Xenopus tropicalis: one gene and its partner. The protein of the gene in region 1 purifies or fractionates together with the protein of each later gene. This does not show direct contact. Links are inferred from orthologs where the notes say so. Each region holds a gene or a part of one and is shown in the gene's direction. Other genes may lie near its edges.

Region 1 (6,031 bases):
CTCCCTTTCCTTTTCAGTAGATTTTCATTTAGATTTTATAATAATGACTTGATATACAGTATGTGAATAAATGCTGCTGCAGTAACACTTCACAAGCCTGGCATACTTCACAATAACAGAAGGGAGGATGGGTAAATATGATCAGCTTCGGTTTTATATAGTACCCCTTTATAGGCAACACGTCCGTTTGAGTAATTATGAGAGGAGAAAAGCATTCAGGGCCCTTGTCAATCTGTGAACCCTACAAATGTAAGGAAGACCCAGTTCATTTTTATCTGGTGGGTGTTTAAATTCCCACTATTTAATAGATTAGGTGTGAAAGGGATTAGCCTACATTGCTTCTGCTATTTAGGCCCCCCCTACAAAGGTATTAAGGAGAATTTGCCAGTTTTCCCCAATTCAAGGGTGTAACCAAGCACCATAGATGCTGTGTAGCAAGATAATAAGTCTAAACTTCCCATTCATATTAACTGGTGTTTATCAGTGAAACTTACATGGGCAGTAAGTGGCACGATACAAGGGAGAGGAGGACTGTGTGTGGGCTCCAGATTATGTCCAGATAATTTTTGTACCATGGTGATCGGTCATTTTGGTCGGATAGTGATAAAATCTATGTATGTATTGGGTGACCTACAATGCATTTCCGGAACGTCACTTTCGTACGATTGATGTCTGTTAGTTATTTTATGTTCAGAACATCCACCAATTTGTTACTTGTTATCCTACAATTTCAATTTGAATGTTTGAAGACTAAAAGAAGAAGACTAAAATATGAACATGTATGGCCACCTTATAGGACAGGTTTGAAAAGTCTTATGGGTGAGGATCAGATTTGGGTGTTGATGTTGTCCTTGCCTGATGAACCCCCCCCCCCACAATCCTGCAGTATGATGTTATCATTGGCTCCCAGACCAGTGACAGGATCTCTCCAATTTACAGCATTTAGGTGGGCAAATCTGGCATGTTGCATTTAATATGTCTGGTATTAACCCTTTTAATGCTTTAATGTTGTCCCTGGTCAGCTCTTTAATCTGTACTGCGCTGATGTTAATGTGCCAGCAACCTGTATAGATCAAAGAGGTAACTGCCACCACTAATAAGGTTAAATTGATTGGCACAGATCATTGCAAACCTATATTTTTTGATAATTTTCTGCCCACCATTTTACAACATGTAATAAAATCCACATGCTGCAAAGAAACTAGGGCAGCTTATTAGTCATGCATCATGAGGCTTTCATATATGGCTCTAGATTCATTAGTCGGCAAATATGTGTGTTTGTAAATATATATATATATATGTGTGTGTGTGTGCGTGTGTAAATAGTAAAGCACAGTGGGGGCAGTACAAAATAGAGTTTTGCCCAGAGAGAATAACAGGTGTTTATATATTCCCATAGTGTTTATTATAGAACATGCTGCACTATATGTATTGGGTTGGAATAGCCCCAGGTACATTTCACATCTAAAACATGTAGTGCATTATCTTCTATAATAAACACTATGATGAATCTGTTTTATGTATTACATATATGCACAGACGATGGGGGGGGGGTCTTTTTTCCTTTGTAGAAGTGCTTGTAGGCTTCTGTATTTTGTTGATCATTACTGGGAGTACTCAGTATGGATCTTCCAAAATAGGGCTTTTATGCAAGTGGGATTCTTTGTTGGACATTGCAGTAAGACTCCTCTTCAAATAAGTGAACTATCCAGTCATTGTAACTGTGGTATTTACACGAGGGGCAATACTATGTATGAAGTATTTAGCAGTGCAGATATATGAAGAGAAGAATACATTTTGGCCCAGTTTATTTTTGCTATCGTTACCTGGTCTTGGCTGGCAGCTGCGCCTTAAAGTAATGGCCATAATTCTGCAGCAACAGAATGCAGTTCTATATTATTATATGAATATCATGTGACCAGTTTGCAATGTATAAAAACCTCCTGATTGTCAAATAACTTCATTTGTTTTCAGAGACACTAATTGGTTTCCCACTGCTCTTGCAAAAGAAACTCTATTGACCTCGATAAGTACCATCCATTTCATTTAATGTCATTTTCTTTCTAGCCCTGGCCTTATGAAATCAGGCACTTGTGTAAATCAAGTGAGTTTAAAAAGCTTGTATATTGTATAATTGTCAGCCTGTGTATACTCCCAGTGGCTGCAATGCTGCTGCAGAACACACACAGCCTTCCCGGGAAGCACACTACCCAGGCACGTCCATCATTTGGCTTTTAAATACAAATGCTTTAAGGCTGGTCTTTTCAACAAGCTGATGAGTCTCAGGCAAACCCATATTGCTTTCTGTGTGCGCATCTGTGCCTTCCTCATGACTACCCTTAGAGAATATCCTGTCTGCAGAGATTTTTCTCTTTCCATCCAGTGATTCCCCCTTTCTGTAGTGCATCCTTCCCAGTCCGGCTTGGTACAGCAGAAACATGTTGTGAATTCATTTTGCTGAATGAGGCTGGCCTTGGCTGCGACCACTAGCCCCGCTAGAGACATGCTGAAGAGTTGTAAATGAAACACTCTGTGATGACAACTGCACAACGGTAAGTCTGTGTTTATTAAAAATATGCCTGCCTTTTCGTTGTCGGTAGCCTTGGGCTGTATCGGGAATAGAAACATCACGGGCTTTTAATGATTCGGATCACACAGCTGCTTCTGTGCTTGTCTTATTCTCAATTATTTAAAAGAGTAGTAGGGATTCTGCAAAATATGTTGATTTAAATACAATCCCGGAGGAATACACATGCAAAAAACCCTCTTGGTCATCCCTGCCTGCATACAAGTATTATATATTATTATGGAAAAAGCAAACAAATGAGGAGCATTAAGCTTAGAAAGTGTTTTTTTTTCTTATTGTTGAGCAAGGAGGCTAATGTTTCACCGGTTCTGGTGCTCAGCTTTCTTGCCCTTTGGGAGAACTAAGTGTGGGATGGATGTGACCACTCTTTCCTTTCTCATAATAGAAGTGGCCCAGGTTTCTGCACCCACAGTGGCTCTTAGGACTAGGGACTTTAATGATTTCCTATAATTTTGCAGCATTATTCATCTGGCAGTATGAAAACTGATGCAGGAATGATATATTCCGTGCTGTGTGCTTCTTCCTGATTCATGGCAGCTGCATCTTGCCTTTCATTATAGTAAGTACAAGAGTCATGGAAATAAATGTTATTCAGGGGGATGCGTGGATAACTTCACCCGAACAGATGATTGCGAATGACAGGATGATGTTGCTTAGCGCCATATAATGTGGCACACAGTAAAAAAAACAAATATGGAATATAAGGATACAAGATGCAATAGATTTGGCAAAGTATAAAGAGAAGCATAAAAAATTGATTATTGGAATGATTGTTCTAATAATAGGTTCTGCTTTGAGTGGTTTAATGGACCATGCAACAATGTGATGGGAGAGTTTCACTTTAACCCACCCAGGGTCGAGCATACATTCTTACTGCCAGAGAATTTACATCATCTCCCCATGCTCTGTAATGTGCAGGCCCTTCCCTCCTGCAGGCATGGAACCACTCGCCTCTCCGTGCTTTCTATTAAAGGAAGCAACCAGGAATGTTTGCTTTTATTTCTAAAAATTCCCTTGTTTACATGTTAGGATTCATTCCCAGAGTGCAAAAAAAAAAAACAATACTGCTTTTATCAGATGTGCATATTCCCAGTGAAATCATTTTGTCTGTAGGAGAACAGATTTTCATGTTATGGGAACATTAACTGTTTCAGCTTGACTGTGATGTGCAGCCTACTGAGCTGTCGGGCGGAATCATGCTATCAGCTATGTGCCAGCCTTTAAGTGGGCCTTGAACATAGAAATACTGTGATGTAGATTTTGGTAGTTCTTGTTGTGCCTTAATTTTATTATACAGAAGTGTGGGATATGAAAATAATACTACAATTGAAGTCATATTTTGTATGAATTTCTTACATTAGATAAGCAGGAAAATACAGAACAATTTCTGTTCCACTTACCGATAGGTTTCAGCCACAGGAATATAAAGGTTCATATTTGGACAATGTACCAAACTGCATACCCAAGTAGCACTATCCACTTTAAAATATACATACATACACAATTCGGGGTACCATAGTACCACACATTGGGCCCATGTGCCAGATGGACGGAGAGAGTACAAGGGGATACACATGGTACAACTACCTTGCAATTGTTCCAATCGTTAGTTCAGAGGGCACAAATGATCACAGAAAGTAAAGAAGAGCTGCGGTTCTTCACTTTTTAACTGCAGATACGCCATGGACTGGCTAACACGGTACAGATGACATTACATGTGGGGGCATTTACTAATTGGGGCACCAATTATTCAAAAGCCCTGAAAACTCAGAATTGCATTAAGGCTGTCTACAATAGGATCCATTTGAAATGAGAATTAAACCGCCCCCCAAACCCCAGTCCCCCCTCCCTGCTAACTCTCTGCACTATCTATTACATTAAGAAAATGTCCCTATGTGTGTACCTGCTAGAAAAACGCAGAGTTGCACAGCGTGGTTGATAGGCGCCATCTTGCACTGCTTTGGATGCATTTCTTTCAATCCACTGACGTGGAGCCTACAGGAGCATGTACAGTTGAGGCTGATTCCTGACCTAGTTTCAAATGTACATGCTCCTGAAGGCTCCATGTTGGCGAACTGACAGAAGATGATCTGAAATGAAGATGGCGCCTGTCAACCACACTGTGCGACTCTGCACTTTTCGGGAAGGGTGGCTACTGGCAGCGGATGAAGGGAACCTGGGGTTTGGGGGAAGGGTTGAATTTTCATGTAAGCAAGTTATTCTAATTTTTGAAAATGATTGACTTTTTCTTCATAATAATAATACCTAACTAAGCTGAATGAATCCATATTGGTGGCAAAACAATCCTATTGGGGTTGTTTCGTGTTTAAACGATTTTTAGAAGACTTAAGGTAGGGTGATCCAAATTACGGAAAGATCCTTTATCGGGAAAACCCCAGGTTCTGTGCATTCCGGATAATAAATGCACCGATAAAGGCACTAAACATTGTTTCATATTTTAACATTGGCATGTCAATGGCCAGCTTTATTGAAAAATGTGCTCAAAGATTTTTTTTTTCCTTTTGTGCTAGTTTGCTATCTGGATTAATTGGAGGCATGAAATCAATATGTCTCAAGTCAAAGAAACGTAATTATGCAAAGGTAAAGAGTCTTACCCATTTGCTGATAAAAATATCTAATCCAACTATGTCTAGTGTTCAATAAATTCTAATAGTATTTATTTGTATAAGGATCAACAGTTACATGAGCTTTTAATACTGATAATCTAATAAAATCTGGAAGCTCAGTATCATTTCTCCCCAAAATATAACAAGGTCAGGTAGGGTAAAGAGGCTAATAAAAATTTAATTTCTGCAGCTTTCTTATAGAGAACTAAACCTTAAAATGTGCAAGAATTTGTTGTTTAGCACTAAAATCTGCTCCTTGTGCCAGCACCCAGGCCATTGCAGTGGCTCTGTGTCCAGTCATTATGGTAGACTATTTGGTTGCTAGGGTTCAAATTACTTTAGCAACCAGGAAGTAGTTTGAATAAGAGACATATACAAATTTCATTCTATTCTGCTGGACCATAACTTGCCAAATCTGGCATTCTTATGTCTTTTGTTTTACACAAGAGCAATACTGTATGTCTGAAAAGGGGTATATACATTACATACTGTTGCTCATAGGAGGACAGAAGCAGCCAATCTCAAGTTTATTCTATAGCATTTGGCTTAATATATTATATTTTAATTTTATGATAGTTTGGCCTACCATACATCTAAAACAAGAAATTTGGTAATTTGTTTATGTTTCTATACATTACTAATGTGTAGCTACTTCAGAATTATAGTGAATACATTGTATATGGGACCTGTTACCCAGAATGCTCCAACCTTTTTTTACTTGTGAGCCACACTCAGATGTAAAAAGTGTTGGTGAGCCGCACAAGCATGAAAAATTTCATTGGGGATACCAAATAAGGGTTGTTATTGGCTATTCGGT
Region 2 (6,190 bases), about 9.3 Mb from region 1:
AATAATATTCTCAGGGGGGATGCTTGCTGTTTGAGGAGGAATTGCTCTAGATGATCAGACTACAAATACAATCCCCAGTGTTTGAGCAAAAAACGATATTAGGCAATTGAAACTCCCAGAGCAGATTTGTAAAAAGTGCCAAATACTAAGGGAATTCCCCGTCAGCCTTTTTCCCAGTACTGCCTCCATCGATTCACTGGGCACCGCTGTTGCTCAGCGCATGAGTCCGTTAGCAATGCGACTTTGAGCTGCTCACTGCTTCCTTTGCATTTTTATAAAATGCTGAGACAGTTTTCTCAGAATCGCCTCCCAGTATTTACTGAAAGATACAAAAAATAAAACCAATGACCAGGCACTGGGCTTTTAATTGGTTCTGTTTGGTCAAAGCAATTACCATTCTGGTCTATGGAAAAAAAACAGCTTTTTAGCAATATGAATGCATTTAATTACCAAAGGACGGCAGCATTGGGTCTAATTGTAAAATAGAAATAGAAATACACACCATATATATTTATTAAAAACTGTGACTTAAACTGGATATATTGAACTCCATTCTCAGCAGGTGGAAAAGAGTGTTGGTCAAAATGCTCCAATTTACTTCTCCTACTAATCTGTAGGGATCATTGTTGTGCATTGAGCACTCATAGTGGTGACAGGTGGCCCTCTGCACAAAGACACACTCACTTGAGTTATTCTAAGTGGAGGTCCATCTGTCACCGCTATGTGTGCTTAAGGCACAGCATTTCCCTGAGATTAGTATGGGAAGCAGTGACATGAAGAGAGGGGTGTTTTGACCGCTGCTGTATACCCCTCTCCCCCCCCCCCCCCCCCCCGATTTGAGCAGTGGTGTAATATACAAGGTGCAGAGAAGGGGGGCCGTTCAGAACCTGTTAAACCTCCCTCGTGTCCCACTATTGCTTGTTCTTGCACCTGCATGTATTTTTGTAAGACGGGTGCACAGGGCGGCAGAGGTAAAGAGTAGTGATGAGAAGGTCCAACATTTTTCAGCCTGTGACCTAACCCTTACCCACTGCTTCCCAACCCGCATCCAGCCAAAAGTCTTTCCTTCTGATTAATGACAGATAAGCAGGATCATCAGAGCCGAGACATGTATGGGTATGGGACCTGGGTTATTTCTGTAATTTAGAGCTCCATTTCTTAAATCTACTAAAAAATAATTTTAACATTAAAGGGGACCTGTCACCCTAAGAAATAATTCCAAATCCTTTTGAATCAGGTTAGTAGAGCAAAATAAACTTTACTTACACTATTTCAATTATTGAATTTATTTTTCCCTCCAGTCTTGAAATTAGTAGTCATAGCCAGCAGGCCGGCGCCATTTTGTGTGCACTGTTATTAAGGCAAGCTATGTATCACCCCAAAATCATATGCATTTGCCATCTGGGTGATGTATAGTAAGAATCATACTAGAAGAAACAGGCAGGCACATCTGGGATCCCTTTTGCGTCAGTCAATTTGTTCAAAAAAGCAGCTTGTATGTTAATAAAAGTATCAAAAATGTATTTATTCCATAAAAATAATAACAACTGCAACAGCCTTACGCGTTTCGTACCTACCAGGGTACTTAATCATAGGCTCATGATGTATAGTAAGTGCTGAATGGAAAGTTAAAGTAATTGTTATTAAAAATCTAAGCTGTCAATCATATATTGCCTGCCCCGCCTCTATCCCTGCGGCATAGAGGCGGGGCAGGCAATATATGATTGACAGCTCAGATTTTTAAATACATTTATAACAGGTATGGATGATTTAATTAAAAAAAAATTGGGTTTCATGTATTCATGTGTACCAGCTGCCAATCATAATACATAGAGGGCAGTAAAACTGAAAAGAGATATATGTATGGAATTACTACACAGCCAGAGAAGCAAAAGGAAATAAGCCCCTGCCCCAATAGAGCTTACAATCTAAATGGGCGGGTGCTTTCTCTGTGCCAAAGGGTTACAGACTAAAAAGCCCCCCTTTTGTTTTTATTTGTAACTCCCTGCAGCCACTAGGGCCATGCTGGTTGAGTTTAGCCACCTGTGTTGAATTGTGGTATTCACACAAAAGAGAAAAGTAAAGTCAATTGCGGCGTGGTGAAATTGTGCTATCATCAAAATCTGAAAGCAAAGTCAGTAAAGTGATAGTTCACTCCCACACAATCTGCTCCCTTCCCGCTATTAGACTTATAAACCGGAACTTTCCTTTTCCTGTGTAAACGGAACCTTTTCTCCTGTGTCAGCGGAACAATTTAGCAGTGCGCCGCTCTGGGCAGGGAGAGCTGTGCGTCGGCGCTAGCTGCCAGTGCTAGGGCGGAGCTTGATTCGAGGGAGGGGCTGCTGCTTGTGCTGCTGTGTGAGGGCTATGCAGGGAGACTGATGAGGAGGCAGCGGGCAGGGGAGATGCCTGGTTCCTGCCTCCAACACTGGGCACTATGGAATAGAAGGGGCGCTGCCTGCTGAGCCCCCTACACGCTCTTCCCTTCCCTTATGGAGAGGGGCTGTTATTAGCTGCTTTGGGCTGCTCCCCACCCGGGGGACTTGCAGTCTGTGCTACCATTCCTCATTAACGGAGAGAGGAGAGGCTGGGGGTGCTACAGAAGGCTGAGATCTGAGAGGGGCTGCGCTGCTGAAGCCCCACCATGGGGAACACCACATCCTGCTGTGTCTCCTCCAGCCCCAAGCTGCGCAGAAATGCCCACTCCAGGCTGGAGTCGTACCGGCCCGAGCAGGACATAAGCAGAGAGGACACTGGATGCAACCTGCAGCACATCAGTGACCGGGAGAATGTAGATGGTAAGGGGGAACCTGGGGGGCACAGGCTGGCACACATGTGCTATTCTTATAATTGCATTGGGGGTGGGGTTGGCACTGCCATGTCAGTGTGGGTACATCAGGCATGGCACAGAGGGCATTCACCCTGGGCTCCCACACTCACAGGGGGAACATATGTACAGCATGTTATATAGTGTAATCACTCAGATTGTAAGCTCTGGGGCACAGGCACTGCCTTATGCTTCTTACACTTAGCACTTACTGTATTTTGCTATTACTGTATTTATATTCTATTGTTGTATTGTTCCCCATCTCTTCTATTTATGTATTGTTTTACTATATAGTGTGCCTGTGCAAGTCCCACTGAATATATAGAAATATATTTCCGGAATATATATATATATATATATATATATATCAACTCTGCAGCTATTGTTGAACTCGCTCTACAAACCCCTGGCAGCCCATTGTACATGGAGTTCCCTGGGATATCAGTGCAGTTCAGTGGAGATGAATGGGGGTGTGCTCTGTGATTTCCTAGTGTCATTAGACCCAGGCCTCTATATTGGAATTGCATGGGTACTGCTGGGATCCGTTGTGACTGGCTTGTTTCATTGTCTGCCTTGTTAATGATCTGCCTTGTTAATGAGGCCTGGCACCATGTGATCTGTCAGAAAGTAACAATAAATAGGTACCATAGTGCCGTAGGCTGACACTTAGGCAGAGCAGCACTGGGTTTTGCAGCCTTTGTGTCCCAGCTGTGTCAGTGGCAGAAGGAGGAACTGTGCCCACATGAGGATGCTCTTAAAGGAGACATATCATATACAAATTAAGAATGTACCAGTGAATTACACTCCTCTAAATATAGAAGGATTGTGCTTAAAAAAGTTGTGTTTTGGACTTATTTATTAAGAAATTCCACCAAAAGCCCACTAGTCCCACCCCTTCTGTTCCACTTCCTGCTGGCTGACTTCTCTGGATGTGCAGGGGGGGCTGGAGGCTCTCAGTACAAGACACTGTAGGATAGGAACCAATTAGCAACTAGGCTGACCTGATAGGGAACTGAAGCCTGTCTTTAGTTGTGTTAGTGCAAGACTGTGATTGGTTGTCCCCCTCCTACTGTGCTTCTGGCAGGAACTGTTAGGACACACCCACCCTTCATTTGAAACAGGGACAGAGACCTGATAGGATCTATAGGGAGCTCCAATAAAGGGGCCATTTTTACTTATAGGATTAATTTTTAGCCCAAAGTGAAACCAGCACCATATATTATTCATAATTGCCATCATTTATCCAATATGTCTCCTTTAATCTTTATGTGTCGCTTACCTGTACTCTGTTGGTTCTGACCAATCTTTTGCTAGGGTTTAGTGGATTTATTACCTTGTGTTCATATTCAGTGCTCATGCATTACTGCCATTCTGCTTAGCAATGATAAATGATGGGGTTTTGTACTGAACTGTATGCAACATATTCTGTAACTCTTTACAGAGATTATATTAGACATCATTCCCTGGTTATGTAAACTAAGGTCCCTATCTTATTTGCTATGGTCAGTTCATAATAGGAGCCAGGTACCTTGCCTCTTTTGAAAGGAAACCAGAATACAATGAGGAAAATCATGCAGCTGCGGAGAGAACATACAGACATGCTTCAGAGAGTGCCCTGACTGGAATTGAACCTAGAACCCCAGGTCTAACCATGGGTACCCCTCAGGTCTTGGGACCCTGCTTTGGTAATGACCTTTACAGTAGGCCTATTAGTGTATGTGCCACTATGTAAGTGCCACTATGCTTCAGCTTTTAATTTTTCCATGTGAATCTGTTTGATACAAATATAAAGAGCTGAACTGACTAACGGCTAGAGCATGCTTTCTACTGACACAAGTCATGTACCTACCAGATAGTGTTCAATTACTATTGCAAGAAGCTAGGTGGGAAACCAGTATTATTCAGTAGAGGGCTAAATAAACTTAGTCATATACTGCAGACTCTACGGCAAGGGCTCCATGTGTTTTCCTATATAGAAAGAGAACATATATCTATGGCAGTATAAATATTCCCCTATATTAATTATTAGAGATTATAGTGGCCCTTAAATAGAAAAATGAATGCATTATAAATACTGTATGACACCGAGGCTTGTTCAGTTGAAATGTGCAGAGTAGTTGTAATAAAGGGATCCATTAAATCAGTTGCTCTTGCAATTACACATTTCTGGGTCTAGTGTTTACTGGGCCCTGTGCAATGTATTAGCAGCTTCCACTTTGGTCCGGTTGAACAGAGGGCAGTTTTATTCCAGGGCTGTAACCATTAGCAACCAATCAGCAATAAACTTTCATCAGCCTACTACAGGGTAAATTATAAAAGCACATCTCTAATTGGTTGCTATATGTTACTACACTTCGGCAAATTCCTGGAATAACATATCCAAAGACTTCACTACTTGTGTGGCCTAGCGATGTACAGTAGTTAGCAAGTGTTCCACTTCCAGCTTGCATCATTTACTGATAAATTCTTAAGAGATGTTCCTGGCATAAAACTTGTTTTCCTTTTAAATGGTACTGCTAGTGAGCATATTTTAGCTGGCCGCTCCCTCCCTTGCGTAAAATGCATTTATACAAATAATCTTTGTATGCGGTAGCCAGGCCCTTATACTTTACTGTCTAACTGCTAATAAATTAAAAATAAATTTGACCTCTAGGCATTATAATATCATTAAGAGGAAAAAAGTGGTTTGTGTTTGTGTATTTATTGCATAATCTGTTTTATTGCATTATAATAGGCTGACCAGATCACCCCTTTTAGCAAACTGCAAACCCCTTACTTGCTGTGTTTACAAGTAAAATGTAGCAGTTTCTGCACGTTTGGGTTTATTGTAAAAAAGCGCTAGAAAACCAGCCTGTCTCTTCAGTAAATTAAATAACAGTACACTTCAGTAAATTAAATAAAATAACATGAAGGAATTAACCTTAAAGATCAAGTAATACACTGTGTCTGTGAAGGGATAAAGTAACCGCTGGAAAAAATATAAAGTTACCAACAAATTCTGTGAGATTATAAAAACACAGCAGCATCATTCATAGAACTTGCTGGTAGGATTACAATATCACTTGAACATTCAGGGACACTTCCAGAAAATCAAGCTATAAGGGTGAAGACACACAGAGCTACTAGTAGCAGCTAATTTTTCAAGGCTACTAAACTCCAGAAAATACCCTGCCATAGACAATACTGAGAATTGCCTCTGCTAAAACACACATAGCGACAATTATCAGTAGAATCAGCATTGTCTTTTTTGCAGCCAAGACAAGTAGCTGCTACTAGTAGCTCTGTGTGTCTTCACCCTAAAGGTGCCCATACACGGGCCGACTATAGCTGCCGATATCGGTCCCTTGGACCGATTCGGCAGCT

The links.
Region 2: the proteins of cdk14 (region 1) and ccny purify together in Homo sapiens (affinity purification with western blotting; 3 studies listed by BioGRID and IntAct, with this or other methods). This does not show direct contact. The link is inferred for Xenopus tropicalis from reciprocal best matches to the Homo sapiens genes CDK14 and CCNY.

What each region holds. Positions count from the first base shown.
Region 1 is NC_030682.2:30,951,039-30,957,069, forward strand, and holds the start of cdk14 (cyclin-dependent kinase 14), read left to right. Parts: upstream 1-2,180; 5' UTR 2,181-2,552; intron 2,553-6,031. UniProt on the Homo sapiens protein: Serine/threonine-protein kinase involved in the control of the eukaryotic cell cycle, whose activity is controlled by an associated cyclin.
Region 2 is NC_030682.2:21,607,958-21,614,147, reverse strand, and holds the start of ccny (cyclin-Y), read left to right. Parts: upstream 1-2,243; 5' UTR 2,244-2,644; coding exon 2,645-2,798; intron 2,799-6,190. UniProt on the Homo sapiens protein: Positive regulatory subunit of the cyclin-dependent kinases CDK14/PFTK1 and CDK16.